Linked DNA regions of Rattus norvegicus. The main gene of each other region encodes a partner of the protein of the gene in region 3 in a complex. Links are inferred from orthologs where the notes say so. Each region holds a gene or a part of one and is shown on either strand. Other genes may lie near its edges. The genes, in order: Dpf3, Smarcd1, Arid1a and Dpf1.

Region 1 (7,843 bases), on a different chromosome or scaffold from region 3:
AGCCATCTCTCCAGTCTCTAATTTTTTTCATGAGTAAACAGAGATGGGTGCCCTTGTGACCTAGGTTCTTGGTCGCTTGGTGTGTTCTTCAGCTGTGTCTAAGAGGTTTGCCCCACTGACATCAATGGAGAAGTTGGAGAAAACTATGACAAGGGAAATGAAGGTAGTTGAGAATAGACCCTACCTCTCTTTCTGGTGTATAAAGCTATCCAATAAAATATAACCTGGGCTGCATGTGTGACTTGAAATTTCCTACTAATCACATTTTTTAAAAGGTAAAAAGAAATTGTGAGGATAGTTTTACAAACATTTTATTTAATCTAGGAAACCCCAAACATAATTTCTACACGTGATCAATATAAAATAATTCGGTTATTTGGAGGGAAGTTTAATACCAATCGGTTAGTGTAAGGTTGGGCATGCCTTTAATTCCAGCATTCATGAGGCACCCAGGGCTACAACATGAAACTCTATCTTTCAAAAAAAATGATATGTTAATATAGGCATGAGGATTAGGAGGAAGAGAGACATTCAGAAAGAGGGAGGAGGGGTTTGAGAGCAAGGGTAGGTGTGGCCTTCCCTAAGAGAATCCACTCATAGCTAATTTGCATTCCTATTTTGGCGCTAAGCCTATGAAGTCGTGTGTATATTTGACACATCTCAGAATTACCACTTATCAAATGCTCAGTAGTCACCTGGGCTCAGGAAGCTCTGGTTTGACAGCAAAGCTCACTGCTACCTAGGGGAGGGGGAGAAGTGATCATTCTGGCTCCCTTCTGCATTCCAAATAGCTTGCCCAGCCACCTAGATCAAGGCAGGCAAGATGGGGTTTGTACTCACAGGCGAGCCAACAGAGCTTTAGAAATGGGATTTTGTTCCCCTCCCTCCCCTCCATCCCTCCTCCCTCCTCCCTCTCCTCCTCCCTCCTTCTCCCTCTTCCCCCTCCTCTTTATCGCTATTCTTTTCCTTTTCCCCTTGGGCTGTCAGGGACTAACCCCTAAGACAGATATGTATTTGGCAGGCTCTGAGGTCCTGAGTTAGCCCCCTGACTTGTGATGAATTTAATTTTATGTGTAGGAGCGTTTTGCTTACAAGTCTATCTGTGCACCATGTGCATGTCTTGTGCGTACTTCGTCCAGGAGAGGGCATCAGATCCCCCCTGGAACTCCTGTTAGAAGGCTGTGGGTCACCATGCCCGTGCTGGGGGTTGCCCTAGGTCCACATGAGCAGCAATGTGTGCTCTTAAGCACCAAACCATCTCTCCAGACCCTGAAGTGTGATTTTTTTTTAAAAAGTGTTTTGATATCACAACCAATAAGAAGGGTTTTAGGTTTATGGAGTTAAATTGGGGAAACATTGCTATCAACATTGTTCATTTGCTCTAATCAATGAGTTTAGAAATAGAGAATTATTTCTGCTGTCTGTTGTCATCTTCTCGGGATTCCTATGTTCTTTATGTCACCAGCTGGCAAATGGTGGCAGACAGATGGATTTCAGAGTCTATATTACTATTGCACAGCACTGGTGAAGCCCAGACTTTAATTCTGGTCAAGGTTTCTGTCTCCTTCAAGCATGTTTACTCTAAATCCCTTGCTTTTGAAGATTTCGGCCCAAATCTGTGTCCTTTTAATCTATGATACAAACCCCAAAGTTAATAACAATATCTCTTTATTTCTCAGAAGTGATAAAAGTGACTACCAAGTCAGAATTGTACTGACAGTTAAAATGACTTTCCATGAAGTCGAAAAACCAAGGCAATACTATTTTGGGGGAGGGGTGATAAGATTGGGTTTCCATATTTGGGGGTGTGTGTGAGACTGGGTTTCCATATGTAGTCCAGGCTGGTTTTGAACTTTAAGGGAGCACTATCACACCTGGTTCTCTTTACAGTGCATCAAAAACAGCTTCCTAATCGTGAGACTCTGTAATGAGAAGAGAGGGTGGGGGAGAACATCACCCTACTAGGCAAACAAAGAGTTAAATATTTCCAGTCTGCACACACGGACTCACTCAGCTTTGCTGGGCTTATCTGTAACTCTAATAGTGAATGGAGTTGGAATCTGAAAGTTCCGAACTGCTTTGTGATTGTATTTTACTTTATTCATGGAGAGTCGTAAAAGGCGAGAGCAGGTGGAATTGTGAACTGCAATTCAGCATCTCTCGGTTTCCTTTTCACTCTCCAGCTCTCTGCTATTTGACCTGATTAAACAGCCAGGGGATAGCCAGACTTCTATATGCTAACGATAGAGTCTCTGGACTCTATGTGATTTCGTGCGTTTTCGCCCAGTCTGAGTCTCCCTGTGCTCCGTGGAAGCCTGAGTTCGCAGAAGTCTTAGTTTCTTCAGGGGTTCACCAGACTCTAAGCAGCCGAAGACTGGGGAAGCCTCCAGTCACGTCTGAACATTCACTTGCAGATTCTTTTCACCTCCTATCTTAGTCCAGAAAGGTGACGCCTGGATTCGCAGAGCCATTCCCGGAGGGGACTCTAGCAACACCTACAATTGTCAGGCTCTAACAATTTCTGCCTAGTTACTGGCTTCCCTAGCTGCGTTTCCTAAAGTTGCCTCAAATCTTCCCCAGCCTTCTGCCTAAAAGGTGCCAGGTCTCACTTCGTTCCCAAGCTGGTCGTGTCAGATCTTCGAAATCGTCGACAGTGGAGAACGGTGGTCGTAGGGGACCGTGCAGAGTGACCACCTGTGAATTACGTAACAAAAAACCATGGCTGAGACATTCCAGGGGGAAGGGAGTTGCTGCCCTGGACTCTCCCGTTCTCAGAAACCGACCGAGGAAGGTGGGTGAGATAAAGAAAACACTTCGGGAACAAGAAAATTGAACAGCGGCAGAACCCAGAGCATTTTTAGCAAAGAGTGGAGCACAGTAGTAATTTCTTGGAGGAAACTGCAGCCTTCCAACTTTTTGCACTTGTAACACAGTGGTGTACCCGAGACTCGGGGGTTAAAACCGTGATATACAAAGCCCAAAGCTAATGAATGGGATTCAGCATTTTTGTTGGCATTATGTAAATATTCTTGTCCAGGAGCGCAAACTCTGCGGTTATTTAGTAAAGTAGGGACTCAAACTAAGCGAGATTGCTCTCCCATGTATCTCCACTAGTCCCTATTTGAAAGGGCGCTACTAACACGGTACTGCCCCTTTAAGACCTGCTCGCTCTCGGGCTCTACAAAAGGGAGTGACCTCTGGGCTTTGACAGCTCCCCTAATAACTACCACCACGCAGGCTCCGCCCACTTGGCGACCAGCCGCGCCGATTGGCCGGCAGACCGGTATCCCGTGCTCTGATTGGCCTGCCGCTTCCCCTGAGCGAACCTTTAGAACTCTGAGACAGACAATATTCTGTTACATTGTAGCAAAATGGCGACTGTCATTCACAACCCCCTGAAAGCGTAAGTAAGACTAAAAAATGTACATATTCCGCGTGGTTTCAATATGAAAAAAAGGCGCCTTGCGGAGCGCAGCCGGCGCTCGGCTCTCGCAGACGCCTCCCGCTGCGCCCGGGCTCCTCTTTTCTTCCTGCTCTTACTTCTTCATCTTTTTTCCTCCCAGCGCGCAGAAATGTCAGGAGATGCAATTAACAAAAAGAAAATTGTTAAATTTGTGTTCTGCTTAATTGGCTGACCCGGACCGGGAGGGAGCACAGAGCGCCGGCGCCGGCTCCGGAGCTGCGGGGGTCGTGTGCAGCTCGGGTCTTCACGGTCCCCGGAGTCCCCTGCCTCTCCCGGCGCCGCGCGGGGCTGGCTGAGTCCGGCCGGAGCGCGGGGCAGGGGCCGCGTCCTGCGCTCTGCTATGCCCTGCGCTCCAAGCCGGAGCTTCCCCGGCCCCGCTGCTTGTCCACCGGGGCGGGCAGACCGACCGCAGCGGCTGCGGAGTTTTGCAGGGCGTTCGCTCTGCCTTCCGAGCTCTCCCAGGGAGTTTGTGTAAACCTTCCGGAGTTGGGAGGACGGCGCGCGGAGCGGCGGGTCCCGGGAGTCCTGGGGCCCAGGTGCTTGCCCCGGGCTTTTCCACTCCGGCAGCCGGGGATCAGGCGGGCGCTCCGGGCGGTCGCCGGTGTGTCTGTGTATTTGTAGGCTAACTGGCTCTAGTAAATTAACGATCTGGGTTAACTTGAGGTTGATATGGAGACGGGGAAACTGCAGGTCTTATTAATGGTGTGCTCGCCTGCTCTGGGTGAAAAGCTGAGGCGGCGGAGGCGGCGGTGTAGGGCTCTGGCGACAGCGAGGGGCAGGTGCCTCCCGGAGACTTTGAGCGGACAGAGGGGGGCGGGCTGCGCAAGGACTCGCGGGGGCCGGTTCCGATCGGAGCTGCCTGCCTGCCCGTCTTCCTTCCTTCCTTCCTTCCTTCCTTCCTTCCTTCCTTCCTTCCTTCCTTCCTTCCTTCCTTCCAGTCGGTGGACTGAATATGAAGCCGCCAAGTCTGCGGGTGATCGTGGAGCTGGGGGTGGCCTGGGAAAACTAGTGTGGCTCTCAAGGGGCGCTATTGGCAGGGATGTTGGCAGAGGGTGGATCCTTGGGAATCGCGGCGCGGCGTGGGCACCGGGTGGGTGCCGAGTGTACTAGGACTTCACGCCCTGATGAAAGCCTCTGGGAATCGGAGGGTGCGCGTGGGTGTTTAGTACCAATTCTTCCCGGTCTGTGTCAGTGGTCGATCTTGGCTTTTAACTGCGCGCTACAGCGTCCTAAGCCCTGGCTCCGGGAGTCGAAAACACCGTTCGCTTTGGGGAGCAGCAGGGCGGCGGCGAGTGTGTGTGTGTGTGTGTGTGTGTGTGTGTGTGTGTGTGTGTGTGTGTGTGATTCCTAGTGCCAAGAAACGCGTAGGGAGAACCCGCTGCGTTTGCACCAGCCAACAACCAGGAATAGGGCAGGGATGTCCCAGATCTCGGAGTTTCCACGAGATACTGCGGTAAAGACAGGGGCTGAGCTTGATGCGAGTTCCTGGCTCCGGTTCCCGCTCGGAAGCTCAGCTACTTTGCACTCGCGACAGCGTTTAACCTGAGAGGGGAAAAAAATGTTTTATGGCAGAATAAATGGGCGTAACTTCGCCGCGTCCTCGCCGACTCCCGCCACCACACCGCTGGTGCCGTGAGTTTCTCCAAAACCCACACAGCTGATTTGCAATTTCCTCATTTCCAGTCGAAATCACGTAGCAGAGCTGATGCTGCTTGGTAAACTCAGGTCTGAGAGATCTATTTGCTATGTGTACGGGGTTCCTCATTGGGAAAGCGGCATCCTTGGTGCCCGGGAGCGGGCTTACGCTCGGGCGCGCGCAGGAGCTCCACGCTCCAGGGTTCCCCAGATCTTTTCACTTTTTTTTTTTGACACAGAAGCGTGCGTGTATTGGAAATTGTGGGGAGAAGGAACAGAGAAGCTAGAAGGTGGTCAATCTCGGTTGATAGAATTAGTTCTGAATTATCCTTGTATCCCTTAATAATTGGAAACACTTGCCGTGGGATGCATTTGTAACTCCGTCTTGGCTCACGCACAGGGGCGCTCACCCACAACACCCCTGCCTGCCCTTTCCTCAGAGGAAGTCCAGTGGTCACTTATAATTAGCCATCCCCTTTTGTATCCCATCCTCTTCCCCTGAGGACTAAGGGTGTAAACAATAACCCCAATCAGCCAAGCTTTTTGCACCCTGGACATTTTCAAAACTCCGCACGCAGGAGCACACACACATCGTTACTGGGAGACCGAGGCCATCTGCTTTTATCATTATTATTATTATTTTAAAAACAACTTGTTTAATAAAACATCCTATACATTTCATTTGTTTTTAGAAGTTGCTGACCAGGAAACAAAACACACGTGAATAAATTATGCATGGGCTAAATTAGAACAAAGCAGAGCAACGCATCCAGCCGAAGGGATGGATGGGGGCGCAGGGAGGAGGAGGAAGAGTGAGGGGAATGGTTTGGAGAGCTTACGTGTTTATCCTTGTGTGCCCCTCCTGACAATGAGGGAGCTCCAAGCCACATTAGCATTTTCTCCGTGTGCAAGCGCTCTCTCTCGTCTTAAAAAGGCAACATCACGGACGCCCCCTACAGAAACTGGTCACAGAAAGATTTCCTCTTGAGCCTGGGGATAAGTAGCAGTAGTAACGGTGTTGGGAAGAAGCCAGCTCAGGTTTCTTTCATGCCACCCCGTGTAGGGCTGTGCCTTAGACTCTGGGTCCCTTTTCATCTTGCTAGCTTTTTTCCATGTGGGGGCATTCAATAATTCAACTCGCTGGATGACTAGATGGCTCAACTTGAATCTCTGCTTCGCGTGGGGTTGGGGGTGTCTTCTGTAGGGTCCCAAGTGCCTGAAAACAGCCTTTCTTGGTAGCTTGCCTTTCTTCCTGGCTGTCTTTGATCTCTCCTCAACTCCTTTTTCTTGCTGGTTGCTTTCACCCCTTCCTCTCTGAAGCTGACAGTCTGGCTTCTCCATTCCAGCCTTTAACTTCTTGTTACTGCCCAACAGGGTGTTAGCCGCAGAAACAGGAGCTGCCAGGTCAGATTAGATCAGAAAGGAACGCAGCAGGTGGCCCCACAGCTAAGCGGTCACATCTGGACAAATGGAATTCAGAGACACTGACAGACACATATGATGTGTAAATGTGAGTTGCCTGCTATTTAAATTAGCAGCTACACCCTGTCCTCTGAGTGCAGCTCATCAGAGACCTCCTCAACTCCTGTATACCCAGGAAGTGAACAGGGATAGATTTGATAAAGGCATGGGTGTAAGTTACATGTTGTCGATTTCTGTATACTTGGGAAATAAAATGCTTAATTAAAAAATTATTTATTTTAGGTGAGCACATGCTTTTAGTCCCAGCACTGGGGAGGCGGAGTTGGTGTCCAGCCTAGCCTACATAGTGAGTTCTGGGCAGCCAGAGCTGCATAGAGAGACCCTATTAAAACAAAGATACTATTTTATGTGTGTGTGTCTTGAGTGGGTGTGGTGCTGGAACAAGTGTATGTGTGTGGAAGCTCGAGCGTGTGTGTGTGTGTGTGTGTGTGTGTGTGTATGTGTGTATGTGTGTTTGTGGTTAGAGGACAACCTTTGGAGTGGTTTCTTCCACCATGTGTGGTCCGGGGATTGAACTCTGTTCAGGCGTAGAGCAGACACTCTTACTTATGTTTTTATTGTAAGATCTCACTATACTAGCGCAGGGTGCTCACCTTCCCCCGTGTCTGCCAACAACACTTTAAGCAGCACAATCTCACAGTAACTTATCAAAACTCTGCTGGTAGCACTTAACTGGGAATGCCTGCCACCTTCTGCCAGACTTGATAATGTACATATGTATCTGTTTTTATAACTCCGGGCTCAGAGACGGAATAAATGCTATCGTCACTTCATTATTCTAGTTAGGGCTGTAATGCTTTAATTGTTTGATTATAGACAACCAGAAAGCTAAACTATTTAGTCATGCTTATAACGATGATTCCTTGTACACAGTTGCCTTGAAGCTTCACTTTGTAAAGAGTTACTCCAGCTTGGAGGTACTTTGCTTTATTATTAAGGACGTAACTCTAAGAGGAGGAAATGTTTACTTGATCAGTATTCAACATGGCTCGTGTGTACAGATGATGTGGTCAGGTCTTTATCTCTCTGTCCATTCTTTGATGTGGATGTGTGTGTGGGGCACATGAAGGTTAGAAACCAGACCTTACTCTTGCTGAGAGAGCCAGTTTAATTATCAGAGAGGAAGGGTCAGGGGGCCACATTCCTGGTCCTAATCTTGTCTTGGCTATTTTGATTGGGGAAGGGGTGGTGAGTAGGGATGAAGCAGAGAACAGTGGGGTAGGGGGCTTTGTGAATTTTCGGCCTTTTATGGACACCATTCTA
Region 2 (7,092 bases), on a different chromosome or scaffold from region 3:
GATTGAGTCCGTTGCTGTACTAAATACCCCGAAAGACACATGGATCCATCTCATTAGCTTCATCTACACTCTTGGTTCTCTGCAGCCCCCCCAGTTTAAATTAGACCCTCGCCTGGCTCGCCTCTTGGGCATCCACACCCAGACACGTCCAGTGATCATCCAGGCACTGTGGCAATATATTAAAACACATAAGCTCCAGGACCCTCACGAGCGAGAGTTTGTTATCTGTGACAAGTACCTCCAGCAGGTATGTAAGGCACATTCTATTTCGAGAGTCTAATTGCACTGAAAGTGCCGATTTGTAATGCCTCTCTCTCTCTCTCTCTCTCTCTCTCTCTCTCTCTCTCTCTCTCTCTCTCTCTCTCAGATCTTTGAATCTCAGCGGATGAAGTTCTCAGAGATCCCTCAGCGGCTGCATGCCCTGCTCATGCCACCAGAACCCATCATCATTAATCACGTCATCAGGTGAGTGTGCTGGACCCTGCCCTCGGGAGCCTGCTCGTCCCGTTATCAGATGTCCAGAGGTCTCCTTAGATGCACTTGCTCTATTTCTGTTTAGATTACGTAAGCTCATTACTGTGAAAACCGATAATGGCACCAACCTCTGCTTGCCTGTTACCTGCTCACCTTTGCAGAGTTTATGCCTGAAGGTTACTGGTGTTTGGGGTGGTTGCACACTCTTCTCTGGCTAAAGCTAGAGTGTTAGTGGCTGGACATCAGCCAGCACTGTCACAGCAGGGCTCCACTTCCCGCGGGAGATGCAGATTGTCACTGTGGTGGGAGTCAGCAGTCATCTTTTTATGAAAGGAGGGGCTTCCAGTCAGACTCCCACTCTTGCTTTGTTTTCTCATAATTTGGAAGATAAAGAGCCCTGCGCCTGTCAGACGCCTGCTCTTTGCCCTCTTTGTTCCAGTTACTCCGGAAAGACTGAGTTTCCCTAGTCCCTGAGCCCCTCACCTGTAGTCCCTCTATAGCTTGTACATCGCGTCCACAGAAACTGGAGTCCTGTTCTTTTTGTTGCTGTTTTTTTTTTTCCGACAAGAGTCTGTGTAATCCTGGCTGTCCTGAAACTCACTCTGTGGACCAGGCTCCCCTCAAACTCATAGAGGTCCACCTGCGTCTGCCTCCTGTGTGCTGGGATTAAAGTCCATTGCACGGACTCCTGTCTTTAAAAGTTTTCACAAAATGCCTTTGGTGCTATTTGAACTTTATGACTTTCTTAAAACCAAGCTCAGCCCAACAAGATGGTTCAGCTGGTTAAAGGCACTAGCTGCCTAGCCTGACAACCTGACATCAGCCCTGGGAAACACACACACACACACACACACACACACACAGAGAATGAATATATGGGAATGTACTGAAAACCAAATTTATTGAGTTACAAGTTGTTACTCATAGAGGCAGGCTGGACCGTAGGTTAAATCTGTTTGAAGTAAGGCAGTAAGGCATCTGGAGATACAACTCCATACAGCTCTCCGAAGGAAGACGTTGAGCATCTCTGCTGTGCACTTTGACCTTTTGCAGTCGCTTCCTTTTCCTCTCATCCCTGGACCATCTTCTGACGTTGGTACGTAGGTCTCAGAAAAAGCCATTTACTGAACTCTGCTACTTTCCTCCCCAGTGTTGACCCAAATGACCAGAAAAAGACAGCGTGCTACGACATTGATGTGGAAGTGGATGACACTTTGAAGACCCAGATGAACTCTTTCCTGCTGTCCACTGCCAGCCAGCAGGAGATCGCTACTCTAGACAACAAGGTCGGGGTCTCTGTCCCACCGTCCATCATAGCTCCCAGCTGCCTTTTGCTTTTCGTTTTTAACTAAAAAATATGTTGATACCCAGAACTTGTCAGGCTGTCGGTAACGTTTAGTGATAAGTGGAGGCAGGTTACATACATGCATTTAGATTCTGCCTATTACATTTTGTTTTTGTTTTTAGCATTTTGAGTGCATCTGTCCCTTGTAGAGTAGGCTGGCCTCAAATGCATGATGATTCTTCTACGTCATGTTCAACAGTGCTGGGGTTATAGACACGAGCCATGGCGGCTGCGTGTGAAATGAGACCACGTTATTAAGGACCTGAGCCTGTGCCTCCCGCCATAAGGTATCAGTGGGAGCTCTCCCTGCTGCCGCCATTGGTACTGTAGGCACTGTACGCAAAACCAAAGGGCTTTGTAGCCACCAGAGATAATGTGTGTGGACTTTCCTAGAGAGTAGACGCCTCAACTAAAATTTGAAGGGTGAAATAGAAGTTAACAGATGGCAAAGAAACACAGTGGTGTTTGGGGTATGGGAGGCAGAAGACAAGAGAGATAGAACAAGGTGTGCAAGAATTCAAAGGGAGAATGAGCCTGGGGTATCCATGAAAGAAGCAGAGGAAGGCATGTTCTTCACTCCTGCAATCCCAGCACTTGGGAGCAGCAGCAGGAGGAGGTACACCCCAAGTTCAGGGTCAGTCTTGTATACATAACAAGTTCCTGGCAGCTACAATTACAGATAACCGCAAAATCAGCACAAGAAGTACAAGATGTCAGGGTATGATTTTGGGGAGAGGAAGCTACTGGGGCAGTAGGAGCCTGGCTGTAACGCTTTGATCTGGGAAAAGCACATGTATCCCTCCTGCAGGTGAGGTAAAAGAGCCGGGACAAAACCTTCGTCATGGAGGTACTAATGCTGTTTGCATTAGCGGGGAGGTGGGGAGAGTTGAAGAGGGGCAGACCTGCAGCAGATCCATTTGGAGACTGGGCTGATGGTTTGTGGGAGATGTGTCCAGGCTCCAAACTAAAGGTGCAGACAGGATGGAGTTCAAAGGAATGTGGCTCCTGTTGGGTGGGGCTGAGAGGAGGCCGGCCTTGGAGGGAGAGTTGTCTGGGAGGAGGAGGAGGAGGAGGAGGAAGAAGAGAAGGAGGAGAAGGAGAAGGAGAGTTAGGGGAAGGGTAACCACTTTAGTTGAGACTTCAGCCGACCGTGTCTTGCGAAGCTAAGAGAGCACGAGGGTTTGCTGGAGCATGGTGGTGGCCAAACGTTCGGTTTGTACTGGTTCCTGTTGAAGACACCGAAATTGCAGCTTCCCTTACCTGCATAGGAGCCAGCACGTTGCTTTCTGAAGGGAGCCAGACGGCCACCGTGCGAGTGCTTGCACCCGTGGACTCTGGGCACCTTGACAATGTCAGCCTGGGTCTGCCTTTACCTTGGAGCTTCCTTCTTTCTTTCAGATCCATGAGACAATAGAAACTATCAACCAGCTGAAGACCCAACGAGAGTTCATGCTGAGCTTTGCCCGAGACCCTCAGGGTTTCATCAATGATTGGCTTCAATCCCAGTGCCGGGACCTCAAGGTAAAGAGCCTGAGAAAGGCCCAGAGGGACTCAGGGAGTGCAACACGTGATCATTTTACTTCTGCGCAGAAAGCTGGTTGAAGAATTGAGGGACCACCTTTTTGTTTTTTCAGTCCATCCCATTTTAGAGTTGATGAGGGAAATGAGGCAGGGCCATCAGGAATGTAGTCAGCACTTCCCCAGTGTTGGCTTTGGACTCCCAGCTGGACTAGAACTGGGGATCTGGGCTCTGATCCCCCACAGATGTGTTCCATTGGGAAAACATAGGCTAGTGTGTCACTAAAGGGTAGTAAACCGTGGCCAGCCGACTGGCGGCAGTAAACCTGTTCAGAGTGAGGGGATGCAGATGAAGCGAGATGGGGTTGAAGATGCTTCCCAGGAAGAAGAAAATCATAGGCCCAGGCAGGAAGATGTGCCTTGGCGGCTTGCCATAGGTGCCCGACTCGTGATTGCTGTGACCAGCACAGCAGAAAGGTCACCTGCTGACAGTGACTTAATGGGTGCTTGGGGTGACTTGGGGGTGTCTTTTTTTTTTTTTTTTTTTTTTTGTCTGCTGGGGCTTTTGAAGAAACCTGACCCAAATTGGGCGGCTTGAGCACTGGGATTGTCTCCCAGTGGTGGAGACTGGAAGTCCAAATGAAAGTAGCCACAGGGTTGGTCCTGTACATCTCCACTAGCTTCTGGTGACCCTGGGTGTCCCTCAGCTCAGGCTTGCTGTCTTCACATTGTGTATGTGTCTGTCTGTCTGTCTGCATTTCCCTCCTTTATAAGGACACCAGTTATACTGGATTAGGGCCAATCCCAATGAACTCTTAACTTGATCATCTGCAAAGACCCTATTCCATGTCAGGTCACATTCACAGGTACCGGGGGATTAGAATTTCAGCATCTTTGGTGGGGGTTGGAGGTGGGCAAGAGGTAAGTTCAGCTGAGAGCAGACTTGAAAGCAGGAACCCTGTTGTCCTCTCCTCCCTCAGACAATGACTGATGTGGTGGGTAATCCGGAAGAGGAGCGCCGAGCTGAGTTCTACTTCCAGCCTTGGGCCCAGGAGGCCGTGTGTCGATACTTCTACTCCAAGGTCGGTGCTGTGCCGGGGCACAGGGGAAGTGGCCCAAGGAGGGGCAGCGGCGTTGGCCGCCAGCCTTTGGTTTCTCGAGCTTGCATTCCTGTTTTCTCTGCAGGTGCAGCAGAGGCGGCAAGAATTAGAGCAAGCCCTGGGAATCCGAAACACATAGGGCCTCCCTGGCCCTAGTGTCTGCACCGAGTTTGTGGGCCCCGTGTTGCCTGCCTCAGTGTCCCTGTCTTGGTCTTGCTTGAGGCATTCTAGGAGATGCTGTTGGCTCCAGGACAGTGTCACAATGAAGAGGGTGTCACATTTCCGTCTCACAGTCACCTGTTATCCCTTCCTGCACCCCGGCCTCCCACCTCAGCTCCTCCCCACCAAGCTCCCACGTGCCTCTACCTCCCTGTCCTACATAGGACCTCTAGATAGTGTAGAGAACCGTAGTGGTAATGAGTGCTCTGAAGCGGTGGGGCCTCCTGAGGTCAGGCGGGCTGCAGGGAGACCCAGGCCTTGGGAGCTGTCGCCCTCTGAGCCTCAGGCCTGGGGCAGTCTGTAAGCTAGCTGACCTTGGCTTCCTGGTAACCCTACTTCTTCCCTTCCTTCCCTCCCTCCACAGGTTGGAGCAGATTCATTCACCTTTCTTCTTGCCCTCTAGCACTAAAGGAGCCCAGGTTCCGGGCTTCACTGAATCCAGGTTGGTCCCTGCCCTCTGGACTTAACCTGCTGTCTGACCCCCAAGTGGGGTCCATGTCAGTATTGGAGTGTGGTTTCAACTCTTGCTCCTCCACACACTCCCGTAGCTGTCAGTATAGGATTTCCCCACACCTGCCCTAACCGCAGTGTTTGGGCTGGGATCTCGCCTTTCCTTGTCATTCCCAGCAGAGACTGTCCTTCCTGCTGTTAGAGGAGTGGCTTCTTCATTCACTCCACCCTGCCCCCTTCCAAAAATGGAGAAACAGGCCTGAAATCAAACGGGTAAAGCCCTAGGCCGTCCCTGTCTTCCTGTCCCATGTCTGCCCAGTTGAAACCCACTGGTGGCTTCCAGGGCACTGAGGAGTAAAAGCGCCTAGGGCTGGAGAATAGGTCTGAAATGGGTTTGTGACTCCCCACCCCTGCCCTCTAAGCTTCAGACCTCAGGTAGCAGCAGGCTGTGTGGTCTTGGCCCCTTGGGACAGATGGCTTTGCGTCTTCCAGGGAAGCCTCAGATTCTTCCAGGTTTTGTCACCTGGAGTGGCATGTCCCAGGCTCGCAGACAACACTGCAGGGTGGGAGACAGCTGGGCACGGGGATTCCGTTGAGCATGGGCTCTGAACCCACAGAACTGACAAAGCCCCTGCTTCCCCACCCCCACCTCAGGCTCCTGCGAGCAGTGTTCCTGCACCCTTCCTTCCTGCCTGTTCTGTACTGGGACAGCAGTGTTTCCCCTGTCCTCCTCATGTCCAATAGCCTCCCTCCTCTTGGAAGGTCCTCCCCACAGTGACACTGGACAACCTTGGGGCAGCTGAGCCCAGCCTGGCTTCTGGCTAGAAGCATGATGGGTGAACTCGGCACTCCCAGTGTCCCTGTTGATAACTGTTTTTATTAACTGAATTGTGTTTTGTTTTGTTTTTTTTCATGGACCAAAATTTTTTTTGTACTGTCTCCTTACTGATGTCACCCAGTTTTAATAAAAGACTTCTGAAGAGCAGGTCCCTGCTGTCTGTGGGGTTGCTGTGGGTCCCCATTGTCTGGGGGGGAATCATTGGGTCCCCACTATCTGGGGGGTGATCACTGAGTCCCCTGCTGTCTGGGAGTCACTACTGTAGTGTCTGCCATCTTCCCTCCCAGTGCCTTCTTCCTTGACAGGTGTTTCTTGAGGATGTTTGCCGGTCGTGCCAGGCTCTGGAGGTCTGGGAAATGAGTCTTTTTCCCCTGGGGACTCTGGGTCTTATTAGAGGCTTGTGACCTCAGCAATGCCCTTGGGTTGGTTGCTCCAACTCCCAGCCATCAAGAACAGACAAGGCAGTGCCGCTACTGGTGTCTCCCTCGTCCTTGAAATCTCCATGTCATGTACTGGCAGGAACAAGCTGTCCTTGGCATCTGTGGCCCCTTGATTTTGATGAAACTGGGCTTTGTTCTCCCAAGAGTACATGTCCATCCAGCCGCTGCCAAGGGCCCAGTGACAGGTTTTCCATACAGACCCACCACATGCACTGATCTCATGCTTTCTGAGGTTCTGTGAATGGCCCCAAGACACCGGGGTTTTCTTTGTGTTGTTTCCCTGTGATAGGGGTCTCTGTAACTAAGGCTAACCTTAAACTCACTGTGCACCTATCTCAGCAGCCCCCACCTGCAAGTGGAGATTACAGATGCGAGTCGTTACAGTGCCCGATGTAAGAAGCCTGTTCTGTTCTTAAAATCCAGTGTGGAGTGGCTGCTTTGGTCCTGTGTGGAGTAGATAGGGCTGCCTACCTGGCTGCTCAGACATTAATCCCCCTTGGAAAAAGCACGAAATGCCTGCGGTCCCGCCTGCTTCCATTGGGTGGCTCACAACTTCCCACTGCACTCTCTCGTCCAGGAAGGTGTGGCGCACTGAACGAGCGACTGTCACACCCTGAAGTCACTGCTAAAAAATCTCACCCATCCGTGCAGTTCATTGATACCGGCCTTTAATCTCAGCACCAGGGAGGCAGAGGCAGAACCTCTGAG
Region 3 (7,092 bases):
TGTGTGACCTAGAACTCACTATATAGACCAGGTTGGCCTTCAACGCAGAAATCCATCTGCCTCTCTGCCTCCTTCATTGCTGGTATTAAAGATGTGTGCCACTATACCCAGTACACATCAGTATTTTTAAAAATTGAATATTTAACAAAATGAAATGCAGAGCTGCAGTCAGCGTCATGGAGGAGGCAGCGCACTCCTACAGTCCCAGCGCTGTGAGCCTGGGCAGGTAGAGCTCTGTGGAGGCCAGCCTAGTATAATACAAAGTGATGCTAGGACAGCCAGGGCTGCACAGAGAAACCCTGGCTCAAAAAAACAAAGTTGGGGTCTATTGAGATGGCTCAGTGGTTAGGAGCACTGGTTGCTCTTCCAGAGGTTCTGGGTCCAATTTCCAGCACCCACTGGTGTTGATACTGTCTCTAACTCCAGCTCCAGGTGGGGTCCATTGATCACATGCCCTCTCCTGGTCCTGCAAGCACCTAACACATGTAGAACACTTGTACTTACAATCAAAACAGTCGTTTACATGAAGTAATTTTTAAATTTTAACATTAAAAAGACAACTTTGAAATAAAAATAATGACACAGCCAAATTGACCAAATCCAAAGTCTACATATCTCAGTGAGCTTCTGTACCGGTAGAACAACTGTCCTGGATCTGCAGCTTCACGGTGACGCTCACACCTTTACTATCATGCACAATTTTTACAAAAGAACAAGTAACTTCTGAGCTACCTGGGAGACCGAAGCAGGGGAATCTCAACAGCAGCTCAGGCTCTAGACCAGCTCTCTCAAAGGTAGAGGGTGGACAGAAGGGACTTGCAGCCGCCAGCATGTACAAAGGCCTAGACTTTAAGACGCTTATTTCAACCCTCTCTCCAGAAGTCCAGTTCTTCTACCACCACCAATGAGAAGATCACCAAATTGTATGAGTTGGGTGGTGAGCCCGAGAGGAAGATGTGGGTGGACCGGTACCTGGCCTTCACAGAGGAAAAGGCCATGGGCATGACAAATCTGCCTGCTGTTGGGAGGAAGCCTCTGGACCTCTATCGCCTCTATGTGTCTGTGAAGGAGATTGGTGGGCTGACTCAGGTAAGCACCAGACATTTGGCTTTTGAGAGTACCGTTTATCCCACAGGGTCATGTTCTGAGACACTTAAAACACGTGATGTCATGTCAGATGTTAGAAATGATCCACGTAAAGCTTCTGCAAGAGTCCAGACTATGGGAACCAGACTCTGTCTTCCAGGGAAATTGCTTATAGAGTTAGTTGCAGAGGAAGAAGTTAAATGATGGAAGCCTTCCTTTATACTGTGACTTCAGAGAAGAGTTCAGTCCTTACTGGAAATGCCACTGCCATACTTCACGGTCCGTTTCTGTTTAGCCAGAGAGGCTGACAAGTGAGGCTCACTCTGCCTTGTAGGCTTTCCTCTGTGATCTTTTCATTATTGTACAGACCAGAAACTCTTAGTGAGGGTGGGAGAGCCTGACAGCAAGAAACTTATTCCAAACCTTCTAAATCAGAAAAGGAAAACAGCTGTCACCAGCAGAAAAGAAAGTGATTGGAACGAAGCCAACTACTAATCATTTCTGAATCCCTTCTCCCTTCAGGCTTCCTTCCCCTCCCCCACAAAGGAAAACAAAACAGAATAGGGCACGTGCAGGCTGCCATGTAACTGGCGTGGGAAGCAGAGCCACATAGGGCGGCTGAGGTGACCCTGCGTGCATATCTGCTTTCCACTGCCATTTGGTCCTTGTTTCCTACTTGTGGGAAAGGGGGATTGGTTGCTTATAACTTGCCTTCTGATTGGTGGGGCTCTGAACTCACTGAGCATAGGATGAGATACAGAACAAAGCTTGTCCTCCAGTTCAAAAAGGAAATCTTACTTGCTGTTAAGTAGTTATATTCCAAAGACAGTAAGAATTCCTTTCTAAGTGAAGGCCCTGAGAAAGGCAAGACTGAGTCCTGAGCTTGTCTGACAGGTCAGTGAAAGATCATCCCAGTAGACGGGTCCGATGTTACAGGGTAGGAGATAATGTGCAGTTAAACACGACTGTTGCTAACTTTACAAACAACCAAAGCGATACTCTCCCCACCCAGTGCCACCTTGCAAAGTGTTGTGGTCACCTCCTTTCCGTGGAGGTTATCTAGAGCTTCTCTAAGCTCTGAAGATTGCAACTATCACTTCAAAGGTGTCATAGTCCAAAATGTTTGCTTGTACCAGTGTTCTCTGCACTAGAGGCATAAGCTGGCCCTGTGCTGAAGAATACACTATGGATCCAGACCTGTCTGTCTGCCACAGTACTAATTAGAAGAATATTTGGGAAATAGTCTTGGTCAGTATGTCCTGGGACTGAAACAAGGAGGCAGAACAGTGGACTGGCTGTCCTTAGGTTGACAGCCTCACACTGGTGGTGAAGAATCATGTAGAAATCATTAGCTTTAAGAAGTTAGAGGGTGAGGGTTAGAGCATCCAGACTAGGCACTGAGTTCTGTTCCAACGTCAGCCTTCTGCTTGTCCTGTCTTAAGAAGCAGCGCTGCTTGCAGTTACTTCAAACTGGAAGCTTCTTGCCAAGCTGGAAGCCTGGGTCAAGTGTACTATGACTCTTCTGGTGGTCTTTCAGGTCAACAAAAACAAAAAATGGCGGGAACTTGCAACCAACCTCAATGTGGGCACATCGAGCAGTGCCGCCAGCTCCTTGAAAAAGCAGTATATCCAGTGTCTCTATGCCTTTGAGTGCAAGATTGAGCGGGGAGAAGACCCTCCCCCTGATATCTTTGCAGCTGCTGATTCCAAGAAGTCCCAACCCAAGATCCAGCCTCCCTCTCCTGGTAAGAATGGCTGAGCACCCCACTGAGGTTGAGGGCACACTTCCCTAGGTAGTGGTGCCTCCCTCCCTTCCTCCAGGGAGCAGAGCAGATGCCAGGGGTGTGTGTTTTTACCCATCCACGTGGCTTGGCAGGTTGGCAGACTAAAGAGCGGTAGTGGCGACTCCCTTGGGAGGTGCCGTGCAGCAGCCTTAAGTTTTAACTTTCTCATTTTCCTGTTGTACGCCTGGCATTTTGCCAAATGTTTGTAAACTAGTGAGTGGGAGGGACACCAGAGGAGTGAGGGAAAACTGACAAATAGCAGTGTGGCTGGGCCATCTGGGAGCTTCGGCCTGCTGATGTCAGTGCCTTAGAATGCAGCTCAGAAGAGAGCTGTAAACTCCCGGGAGAGCTGGGATGGTAATGAATGGTTAGAGGGTAGAGAGGGAATATGAATGGGACTTCTCTGATGACAGGAGTGCTGCTTTACCCTCTGTTCTCAGAGGAGGCTGGGCCTAGGCTAGCATGGGAAAGAGGCCAGGGCCCTAGAAGGTAGGTGTAAACATATGTGCCCTGTCTTTGACCTCTGAGGGTGTGATGTGTGCCTGAGATGACTCATCAGCTTGGGAAGGCCTCAGAAGTGTGCTGTCTAATGCTAGAAACGAACGGTACCTAGTGGAAATGCTCATCACTGGGAGTTCTGTGCTCTTTAGAGGAATATTAGAAAGAACCTAAGGGTGACATTTTGCTGGGTGCCTGATAGAAACACTAGGCTCTGGCCATGTGACTCCGCTCTACACCCTGTACTTTGGGGGCTCTAATTAGTCATTCACTGCTCAGCATCGGGGGATGTTTAATAGGTTACACAGGTTCTTTGGAGAAAGAAAGCTAGGTAATCAGGAAGCTACCCAAGGCTTAAATGACCTGGTGCAAAATAACATCCGCCTCCTTTCTCCAAAGCAAGACTGCAGCCAACCCTTAAACATCAAAGTGGGGGGATGTTTCTTGGAGCTCAGGTGTGCAGCTCTTGTATGTGAACTGTTGTATGCCAGTGTTTTGTGTTTGATCAGGACATGCTTCCATAAGTGATAAGATCCAATCCCTTTACATCACTGACTCTGAAAGTCTCTCACAGAGGGATCCTGGGAAGGCAAACACAGTGTCAGTCCCAGCACTCTGGAAGCTGAAAGAAAGGATCCTTAGTTCCAAGCAGCCTGGGCTCCACAGTATGAGACCCTGTCTCAGAAGAGAGAAACAGACGCATACAAATGCATATGTGCATACACCCAGACTCTAAAGCATCCGTAATTTTATAGTTAGCTGCTCACCCTGCCTCTCTGTCCACAGCAGGATCAGGGTCTATGCAGGGGCCACAAACGCCTCAGTCAACCAGCAGTTCTATGGCAGAAGGAGGAGACCTGAAGCCACCAACTCCAGCATCCACACCACATAGTCAAATTCCCCCCTTACCAGGCATGAGGTAAGGCTCATGATCAGGAACTCTTGGGTGTGTCTGGGGGTAACCTGGGGTAACCTGAGGAGGGCAGTTCATGCCTATTCACTCCCCCACCCGTGGCTTCTATGGTTCTTGACTTATCTGAGGAATTGGTGTATGGGGGGCTTCATTAGTTTTCCTCACTCTGGAGCAGGAGCAACTCAGTTGGAATCCAGGATGCCTTTCCTGATGGAAGTGAGCCCACATTCCAGAAGCGGAATTCCATGACTCCAAACCCTGGGTACCAGCCCAGTATGAATACCTCTGACATGATGGGGCGCATGTCCTATGAGCCAAATAAGGATCCTTATGGCGGCATGAGGAAAGGTGACTGACTGCTGGGTGGTGCTGGCTTATGCCTGTGGAGTTTGAGTGGCTTGGTGGTAGTGCTGAGAGAGCCTCTGAAATGCTTCTGTGTGTCACCCTTCACCATACTCTTCCCTTCCCCCTGCCGGCCTTGTCCTCTTTCCTTTCTGGGATGATGCTAGAGGCTGAAGCAAGGGAGTCATTTACCTTAGGCAAGTTTCATCCCACTGAGCCCCACACACTTAGCCACCAAACTCTTATATATTTTTTCCTCCTCCTTTTCTCTTTCAACTTGCTTTACCTAGCCACTCTTTTTTTTTTTTTAAAGATTTATTTATTATATATAAATAGACTGTAGCTGTCTTCAGACACACCAGAAAAGAGCATCAGATCCCTTACAGATGGTTGTGAGCCACCATGTGGTTGCTGGGATTTGAACTCAGGACCTCTGGAAGAGCAGTCAGTGCTCTTAACCGCTGAGCCATCTCTCCAGCCCTTACCTAGCCACTCTTAAGACTTGGCATTCTCTATTTAACCTGTCAGGAAAGAAACAGGAAGACACCATGTTCTGTAGAGAGCCTGGAACCGTGTCGCAGGAATGTGTACATTGATGAGCCTGCCAACCTGCTGGTTTCCTCATTCACTGCCTTCCTTTTTGTACTCAGCTCCAGGAAGTGATCCCTTCATGTCCTCAGGGCAGGGTCCCAACGGCGGGATGGGTGACCCCTACAGCCGTGCTGCTGGCCCTGGGCTGGGTAATGTGGCTATGGGACCACGACAGCACTATCCCTATGGAGGTCCTTACGACAGAGTGAGGTAAGCCCCTGCCCATCCCACCCTGGATACCCTGAAGCTATACTTTGCTCAATTCTCTTCTCCAATCTTGTTTAGGACGGAGCCTGGAATTGGCCCTGAAGGAAATATGGGCACTGGAGCCCCTCAGCCAAATCTCATGCCTTCCACCCCAGACTCGGGGATGTATTCTCCTAGCCGCTACCCCCCGCAGCAGCAGCAGCAGCAGCAGCAGCAGCAGCAGCAGCAGCAGCAGCAGCAGCAGCGGTGAGTGACTCCTGCTTCCTCTGCCTGTGCTGCTCAGGTTTGTGATTCTCCACCATGACCCACTCCTTCTTCTGCAGACACGATTCCTATGGCAATCAGTTCTCCACCCAAGGCACCCCTTCCAGCAGTCCCTTCCCCAGCCAGCAGACCACAATGTATCAGCAGCAGCAGCAGCAGGTAAGGAAGCGAGTTTGGGGATATACCCACACCCATTGCCCCTGAAAGCCGTCTGTAAGCCACCCAGTGTAATCCATAGCATCCGTAATATGCATTTTGGCTACGACATTGGTATTCCTCTTAGCCAACTAGGCACTTCTACTGAGAGAGTCACTTGTCTTCCTTGTTTATTAAGTCTCTCTTCTAAAGAAAGGACTAGAAACAGAGTTTGTTTTGATTTTTTGATGTTTTACATATTTTTCTATTTGAAAGGAGAACTCTAGAAAATAGTGGTTGCTCTCAGAAACAGCTTCAAAAAGTAATTTACAAAAGTGTTTGCTTTCTTGACATTTGTCCTGTCTTTCATGGGGCAAAAAGAAAAATGAGTTAATATCTATTAAGTGGAAGCTATCCATGACTCTTTGGACTTTATGTGACTCGTTACATAATATTAATTTCTTTTCTGCTTTCTCTGCCTTAGAACTATAAGAGGCCAATGGATGGCACGTATGGCCCTCCTGCCAAGCGGCATGAAGGGGAGCTGTACAGTGTGCCGTACAGCACTGGGCAGGGGCAGCCTCAACAGCAGCAGCTGCCTGCAGCTCAGTCCCAGTCTGCCAGCCAGCCACAAGCTGCCCAGCCTTCCCCTCAGCAGGATGTCTACAACCAGTACAGCAATGCCTACCCTGCTACTGCCACCGCTGCTACTGAGCGCCGACCAGCAGGCGGCCCCCAGAACCAATTTCCATTCCAGTTTGGCCGAGACCGAGTCTCTGCACCTCCTGGTTCCAATGCCCAGCAGAACATGCCACCACAGATGATGGGCGGCCCCATACAGGCATCCGCTGAGGTTGCTCAGCAAGGCACCATGTGGCAGGGGCGAAATGACATGACCTACAATTATGCCAACAGGCAGAACACAGGCTCTGCCCCCCAGGGCCCTGCTTATCATGGTGTGAACCGAACAGATGAGATGCTCCACACAGACCAGAGGGCCAACCATGAAGGCCCGTGGCCTTCCCATGGCACGCGCCAGCCTCCCTATGGTCCTTCAGCCCCTGTTCCCCCCATGACAAGACCCCCTCCATCTAACTACCAGCCCCCACCAAGCATGCAGAATCACATTCCTCAGGTATCCAGTCCCGCTCCCCTGCCCCGGCCCATGGAGAACCGTACTTCTCCTAGCAAGTCTCCATTCCTGCACTCTGGGATGAAAATGCAAAAGGCAGGTCCACCAGTGCCTGCTTCGCACATAGCGCCTACCCCTGT
Region 4 (7,092 bases), on a different chromosome or scaffold from region 3:
CGACAAGGACAAACTCAAAAGCCCCAGGAATGATGAGCCTTTCCCTGGTTTCCTGGCTTCCTTACTCCTAACCCTCCTCCCTACAGGCGTATGGCATTGGAGGTCTCCGGAAACGCCAGGACAACGCATCCTTGGAGGACCGAGACAAGCCGTACGTCTGTGATAGTGAGTTCTGCCGAGGGGAAAGAGAGAGGGGGTGTGGGACCCAGGGACTCTCCCTTTTGGCCCTTGGCAGAGCAGGGGGGTGTGATCCTGGAGACCCGGGGTGGAGGAGGTGGCCCTGGAGTCTGACAACCACCTGCTCACTTCCCCTCCAGTCTGTGGGAAGAGGTATAAGAACCGGCCAGGGCTTAGCTACCACTACACCCACACCCACCTGGCTGAGGAGGAGGGGGAGGAGCACACTGAGCGCCACGCCCTGCCTTTCCACCGGAAAAACAACCATAAACGTGAGTTGTGAGTTGGAGGGTCAAGGCTGGTGGGTGAGGTGCGAGGGGTGGGGCGGGGGCGGTGGAGACTGGTAGTGTCTGGGGAGGTGGAGGCACAGTTAGACATTTCTGGAAAAAATCTTCACGGTTCCCTCCCCCACCAATCATAGGGATGCTGGCTCTAGGGTTGCCATGACAACCAACCCCCTCTCTCTCTCTCTCTCTCTCTCTCTCTCTCTCTCTGTCTCTCTCTCTCTCTCTCTCTCTCTCTCTCTCTCTCTGTCTCTCTCACTCTTTCACTCACTCCCTTCCCGGGTTTATTTCTGGGTCTGATTTATTGTTTCAATTAGAACCTGGAGTGGGGTGGTAGATGATCCCCTCTCTTCCTAGACCTCCCTTGTCTCCTCTGCTATGCTAGGGTCCAGGGGCAAGGTCCCCAGGGTCCTTGATACCCACTCATGGCTGTTCCATGCCATGACAACTGAACCATGGGGGGAGGGGGCCTAGCTCACCTGTCCCTCAAAGACAGCTTCTACAAATCCACAGGCCTGACCCAGAACCTTCTGTGCTATAACAATGTCCTCCTGATTAGGCGTTGCAGAACTGCGGGCTAAGCGTTGGCCTAGGCAAGCTTACCTGGGGGGTGCAAACACACGATGGTGGCAGCAGCCATGGGTTCTTGCTAAGGTTATGTCTATCCTCACACTTTTACCCAAATAGAGAAAACATACCCAAATAGAATCCTAAGAGTTAGGGTTCTGGTGAGCATTCCTTGTCCCTCCCCCAGCTTTCTTGCTACTTCCCAGTGCCTGGGCCAAGGGTCCGCCCCTGGGGCTGAGGCTGGGGACAGATGGGACCTTGCCTATGGTAAGAGCCCCTTTCTGTCCCCCTACCCCCAGAGTTTTACAAAGAATTGGCCTGGGTCCCCGAGGCACAGAGGAAACACACAGGTAGGGGCACCTCCCTCCTCCCCGACTTCTGCAGTAGTCTTTGACTGGCACGCCTCACCTGTCCTGTGCCCACCGCTGCCTGCTGTCTTTCAGCCAAGAAAGCACCAGATGGCACTGTCATCCCCAATGGCTACTGTGACTTTTGCCTGGGGGGCTCCAAGAAGACTGGATGTCCTGAGGACCTCATCTCCTGTGCGGACTGCGGGCGATCAGGTGAAACTCACTACGTATTTCTGGAAGATCGGAGGCGGGAGGAGGACATCTCAGAATCTGAATTTAGGGAGTGGGAGGCAGGCGAGTAAGGGGCTGTCCCTAGCCTGTCCTAGGGGCTGCCTCTGCTGCAGGGGTTTGTGACAGACTGAGCAGGCTTGCTGGCACAGTGGGAACCAACAGTACAAGGTGCCCTGGCTTTGTGCTTTCCCGGCAAGGAGAGTAGAGAGAAGCTAGGGAGGCATTGTGGGTAGGGGACGGAGGTGTGGGAGCAATTGCACCACCTGGGTGCTGTGAATAGCAGGATTGTGTGCTGTAGAACTGTGGTTAATACAGTGTGGTTTTCCATGGAGGCCTCCTGGGTAGTAAGGCTGGTCACTTGAGCAGCGTGGATGATGGACTGTGGCTGTGATGTGCTGTGGGCAGAGTGCTGTGGCTACTGGCGTCTGGCTCTGAGAGATGTAGTTGTAACCGTTGGGTGCTGTGGGCAGTGGCTACAGGTGCCTTCGCGCCGTGGGAGAATGGCTGAGCCGATTCACACCGCGAGTGTTGTCAGAGGAAGTTCGTTTGCTGGTGCCTGGTGCGGGATGGCCTTTGGTTTTCAGAGAAGCAAGGTGTGGGGACCCTGTTGTGGAACTCAGTTGCCATAGCATCCTGGTTGGCAGAGGTCGGCTGCCACGTTGCTGTGGTTAACAGGAGGGCTGGACGCTCTGCTGTGGGTATTGGAATGTGGCTGCCTAGCGCAATACTTAACAGACTGTGGTGGCCGCGGTGTTGTGGGTGGTAGAACGTGGTTGCCACAGCACTGTGGGTAATGGAATGTGGTTGCCATGGTGTTCTGGGGAGCAGAGTGTGGTTGTCATGGTGGCTGAGTAGGAGACTGTGGTGGCCAACACACGGCTGCTTGCCCGACAGTCGAGCTTCCGGATGTTGGTCTCAGGGTTAGGGTCCCACTGCAGAGCTCACCTTGACCTCTGGGTCGGGGCTGAGGATAGAGCCATTACCTCCCCACGTGTCAGTAGCCACCAGAGGTACAACGACTCCGCTAACGGCCTCCCTGCCCCTCAACCCCCAGGACATCCCTCGTGTTTACAGTTCACGGTGAACATGACCGCAGCCGTGCGGACCTACCGCTGGCAGTGTATCGAATGCAAGTCCTGCAGCCTGTGTGGCACCTCGGAGAATGACGTGAGTGCCCGCCCCACCTCCCGGGCACATCCCCAGCTTCCCTTCCGGCCTGGCTCTGCCACCTTTGCTCGTGAAGCCTAAAGCCTTCCTTGTTCATAACCCCTGGGTGACCAGCATTAGCATGCATTACGGTCACCATCGTCCCTAGTGTTCCTTTGTCATATTCTTCCCCTTGATGCCTCCCAGCCTCCCTTGAGGCTGGTGCTCTGGTTCCCACTACACAGAGACGATACTGAGCTCAGAGAGGGAGAATGACGCCTGAGGTCGCCAAGCTCAGAAGGTCGTAGGGCCAGCATTCGAACCTATATATTGGTCCCAAGTTGGTCTCTGGCTAGTTGAACATCGTTCAGCGTTCTGTAGCTACAGAATCCAGACCACACTGTGTGAGCCGCGACAAGGCCAGTTAGTTTTCTCATAAGGGCCCCTGGGACCCAGCCCCTGCCCCAGCCCCCCACCCCGGTTTCTGGTGCCCGTGCCCCCAGGGTGCCAGCTGGGCGGGTCTCACCCCCCAGGACCAGCTGCTGTTCTGTGACGACTGCGATCGGGGTTACCACATGTACTGCCTGAGCCCTCCCATGGCGGAGCCCCCGGAAGGTGAGGGAAGAGATGGGTGAGACACGGGGTGGGTGGGTTGGAACATTGTCTTCTTGGTGGCAGAGACCATGTGCTCTGGGTGGGGACAGGTGGGGGGGGCGCTCTTCATCGGCTTGAGTCTAATTTTGTCTCACTGGCTTCCCCCGCAGGGAGCTGGAGTTGCCACCTCTGTCTCCGGCACTTGAAAGAAAAGGCCTCCGCTTACATCACCCTGACTTAGACCTGGCTCTGCTTCTCCAGGACCTTTGGGTGGTGCTATCCTCGGCCTCTTGGAGCTCCTGACTTTTCCCGCCTGGTGTCCCCAGTGGAAGGGATAGGGTGAAGCCCAGAGAGGGGCCAAGGCGGTCTCCCTCTGCAAGTGGAATGTTACCCTGAGGGAGGGTGGGTCCAGCAGGGTCCCTCCTGTCCCCCATCTTCATTCCTTGACAAGTGGGCACCAGGCTTCTGCTCCCCTCAAAGCCATACCCCGCCTCTGGGCGGGCATAGAGGGGTAGTGGATGCCAGCCAGTGGCACGGAAAAAGCCTTTTTCTAAAGAAAAAGACAAAACGTGAAAAAAAAAAAAGGAAAAAAAAAAAGAAATTAATATATACAAAGATTCCTCTAAGCCTGGCTGGGTGGGGGGCCACTGAGTGTCTGCTGGGACCTGACTTTACCAGTTTCCTGAATGGCCCCTCCCCACCCCATTTCTGGAGTTGCAATTGTCTCAACTCCCATCTGAGGTGGGTACCACACCTTCCTCACAGCCAGGCCAGGTGGGCATGGTGCCCACACACTGCCCCCTCCCGGTACCCACCGTGGATACTGCATGATGTGAACCATGGTTTTGAACTCTTCCTGCCCCTCCTTTGAGAGCCCCGCCCTGCGCCCACCCGGTGCCTGCCAGACCTGGGGCTTGCAGCTGGGGGAGGCCGGTGGGGTGAGGCAGGCAGGCAGGCAGCCAGCCCGCTGCAATGAGAAGAAGCACAGATTGCAATGGACTCAGTTGTTTTTTGTTTTTTGTTTTTGTTTTTGTTTTTTTTTCTTTCTTTCTCCCTTCTCAACCCTTTCCTTCCCTACCCAGCCAGGCTGGGCTGCCTCCTTCCCCCCATCGCTAGCCATTTTGGGGGTGGCAAGGAGGTGTGGTCGTTTCTCGTGGTTGTGTGTGTTTGTTGTTCGGGTTTTAAAAAAGGGAAATTGAGACTGCAAGTGGGGGGAGGTGGAGGGTCTGGGGGAGTCTGCCCCCCAACCCAGGAGTACCCCCCTTGCCACCAAGTCTCCTTTATTGCCTGCCTCTGCTGTGAATTAACTTGTTCTGTGTATTAAACTGGGCCGGACCCCTCTGCCCACAACTGCTTCCATCTCTAACCTCTCTTGGGGTGTCACCAACATGGGAAGTCAAGGGGCCTCACTGGGGTAGAAGCCACTGTGGCTGGCCCCCACCTCTTTGCCCCTACACCATGCCTCCCTCTGGCTTTGTCCCAGCTCCTCCCTGTCTTGCTGGAGAGAAGAGGGGGATGGGGTGGAGGGGCTCCCACCCAGCCAGCTGTGGTTGCCATAGCAACGGGCTGCTGCAGCTGCAGCGGGAGGCAGCTCAAAGAGGGAGGTGGGAGTGAAGACTTGGGGGGAAGGGAGGGCTGGAGAGACCAGAAGGCAGCCCCCTCCCAGGCTAGGGTTCGGAGATTGCACCTCAGCCGGGTTGGCTGTCACTTGGGATTCCCTGTCCTGGGTGTGGCTAAAAGTGGAGGACAGGAGGACGTCTCAAAACACAGGGATTTAAGGAAACAGGCAGGGTGGGGTGGGGGTGGGAATGGAGTACCAGGGCAATGGTCAGAAAGGAAGAGGATTCTGAGGCCACAAATTTACTGAATGAAAAAAAGAGGACAAAGCTCATTTGTGGGGAGATGGGCAAATGTGAGAGTCCCAGGAACTCCGAGGGAAGAGGACTGGGACGGGGTGGAAGACTAGTCCAGGACATAATAGTCTAAAAGAAGGAAAAAAAAAAAAAAAAAAAAAGCCAGGCTCTGGCAAGACCAGGGGAGGGAGAAGTGGACAGCTATTTGGAGAGACAAGCTGAAAATTTACAAAGTCAGAGGGACAAAATGTGGTAAGGGGACAGGCAAAGCCCCCAGACAAAAGACACGGGGCTGAGGGAAGTGGGTTTTGTTGGAAGGCAATAAAGAATGTAAGGACCGCCATCCAGGATGGTAACACACCATGTGGCTCAGAATCCTAGCACTGGAGGCTGAGGCAGGAGGACGGTGAGTTACATGTCATTCCTGGGCTATGAGACGTCTCTTTAAAAAGGGGTGTGGGGGTGCAGACAACAGAAATCTAGAGAGTGCCAGGCAGATGAGGCCAAAGAGATAGTGTGGCAGGCTGAGGAGAAGTGGGGGAAGGGGCAGGAAAAACTGGGGCAAGAAGGGAAAGGGACTACAGGGTGCAGTGCAGGCGCCATCAGGGTTTGGCGTGCGGGTGCGGGTGCGCGTGTGAATTGTGGGGTGTTGGGAGATGGTGGTATGTCTCCCAGGCCAGGAGAGGATGTGAGAACAGTTTGTTCCCGGGTTCCCTCCCCCACTTGGCCCAGGTTGGTGGGGGGAGGGCTGGGCTGGATGGGGCCCTGAGGAGGGTGGAGAGTGAGGATGTCTGAGTAGCTGGAAACCCTTGCGAGGGCTGATTCTCCCCTGGAACTAGGCAAACACCTTTCGGAAGACATTTGGTGGGGTGGTGAGGGTAGGGTGCGGAGGAGTACCACAGTTCAGCTCAGACTTGAAGAACGTAAAGACAGCTGATGGGGAGGGGGCAGTCCTGTCCAGAGAGGCCGACTTCCCACAGGAGGCGGGTCTTTAGGATCTTCCCGTGGAATTCCTGAGTCTAAATAGTCAGTTTGCCTCATGCCCCGCCCACCCGCGGATGTCCACAGTTTCGGCAGGACACAGATCCAGGGCCCCAAGTTTCAAGCCGCCCCCACCGGTCCTGCCAGGAGGGCCATAGAAAACCTGGTTTTGGCTGAGGCTTCAGGAGTTTGTCTGATATACTTCCTTTACCTAGATGGCAATCTTCCTTTATCTCTGGTCCCCAGGGACCCCGGGGCAGCTCTCCGCTGCAATCCACTCCCTGCTCTATTGGCACAGAGAGGTCCTCCGCACAGTGGGACCCAGTGGAGAGATGAGTAGGTGGGGCAGGGCACAGAAATGTAGCTGGGATGGGGAGGGGTGTGGCTTGGGGCCCAGCGGAGGCCTTCGAGCCAGAGGCTTCACACAAGTCCCACAAACATGCCAGTACTTGCTTTCCCGGCAATCTCCCGTGTTTTTTGTTTCCAGATAGACTTACTCTGTGTAGCCCTGGCTGCCCTGAAACTCACTATGTAGACCAGGATGGCCTCAAACTCAAAGAGATCCACCTCCCTCTGCCGGGATTAGAGGTGCATTATTACCTTACTTTGCCTGTTTTTTTTTTTTTTTTTTTTAACATACCAGAAGAGGGCATTGGGTCCCATGGATGTGGAGTCAGACAGCTGTGCGCATTGACCTGGGGGGTCCTCCGGAAGAGCAGCGGGTGCTCTTAACCACTCAGCCACTTTTTTAAGGGCTTTGATACCACTTGGGGTCAAGCACAGGGTGGCCTCAAACTTGCTATGTAGCTGAGGAAGGTCTTGAACTCCTGATGCCCCTTCACCTCCAAGGCTGAGATTCCAGATGTGTACCAATACAACTGGCCTTGAACTCTCTGGGATCCTCCTGCC

The links.
Region 1: Arid1a (region 3) and Dpf3 share a complex: the UniProt entries of both Homo sapiens proteins name them as parts of the neuron-specific chromatin remodeling complex. The link is inferred for Rattus norvegicus from reciprocal best matches to the Homo sapiens genes ARID1A and DPF3.
Region 2: Arid1a (region 3) and Smarcd1 share a complex: the UniProt entries of both Homo sapiens proteins name them as parts of the neuron-specific chromatin remodeling complex. The link is inferred for Rattus norvegicus from reciprocal best matches to the Homo sapiens genes ARID1A and SMARCD1.
Region 4: Arid1a (region 3) and Dpf1 share a complex: the UniProt entries of both Homo sapiens proteins name them as parts of the neuron-specific chromatin remodeling complex. The link is inferred for Rattus norvegicus from reciprocal best matches to the Homo sapiens genes ARID1A and DPF1.

The regions. Positions count from the first base shown.
Region 1 is NC_086024.1:108,852,132-108,859,974, reverse strand, and holds the start of Dpf3 (zinc finger protein DPF3), read left to right. Parts: upstream 1-3,349; 5' UTR 3,350-3,371; coding exon 3,372-3,403; intron 3,404-7,843. UniProt on the Homo sapiens protein: Belongs to the neuron-specific chromatin remodeling complex (nBAF complex).
Region 2 is NC_086025.1:132,713,077-132,720,168, forward strand, and holds the end of Smarcd1 (SWI/SNF-related matrix-associated actin-dependent regulator of chromatin subfamily D member 1), read left to right. Parts: intron 1-85; coding exon 86-247; intron 248-367; coding exon 368-465; intron 466-1,624; coding exon 1,625-1,760; intron 1,761-3,217; coding exon 3,218-3,340; intron 3,341-4,317; coding exon 4,318-4,419; intron 4,420-4,522; coding exon 4,523-4,576; 3' UTR 4,577-6,091; downstream 6,092-7,092. UniProt on the Homo sapiens protein: Involved in transcriptional activation and repression of select genes by chromatin remodeling (alteration of DNA-nucleosome topology).
Region 3 is NC_086023.1:151,198,229-151,205,320, reverse strand, and holds part of Arid1a (AT-rich interactive domain-containing protein 1A), read left to right. Parts: intron 1-879; coding exon 880-1,089; intron 1,090-2,623; coding exon 2,624-2,831; intron 2,832-4,154; coding exon 4,155-4,287; intron 4,288-4,453; coding exon of another isoform or gene 4,454-4,456; coding exon 4,457-4,629; intron 4,630-5,273; coding exon 5,274-5,424; intron 5,425-5,499; coding exon 5,500-5,667; intron 5,668-5,744; coding exon 5,745-5,844; intron 5,845-6,304; coding exon 6,305-7,092. UniProt on the Homo sapiens protein: Involved in transcriptional activation and repression of select genes by chromatin remodeling (alteration of DNA-nucleosome topology).
Region 4 is NC_086019.1:93,738,726-93,745,817, forward strand, and holds the end of Dpf1 (zinc finger protein neuro-d4), read left to right. Parts: intron 1-86; coding exon 87-165; intron 166-317; coding exon 318-449; intron 450-1,327; coding exon 1,328-1,378; intron 1,379-1,471; coding exon 1,472-1,591; intron 1,592-2,663; coding exon 2,664-2,776; intron 2,777-3,258; coding exon of another isoform or gene 3,259-3,288; coding exon 3,289-3,370; intron 3,371-3,519; coding exon 3,520-3,590; 3' UTR 3,591-4,700; downstream 4,701-7,092. UniProt on the Homo sapiens protein: May have an important role in developing neurons by participating in regulation of cell survival, possibly as a neurospecific transcription factor. Belongs to the neuron-specific chromatin remodeling complex (nBAF complex).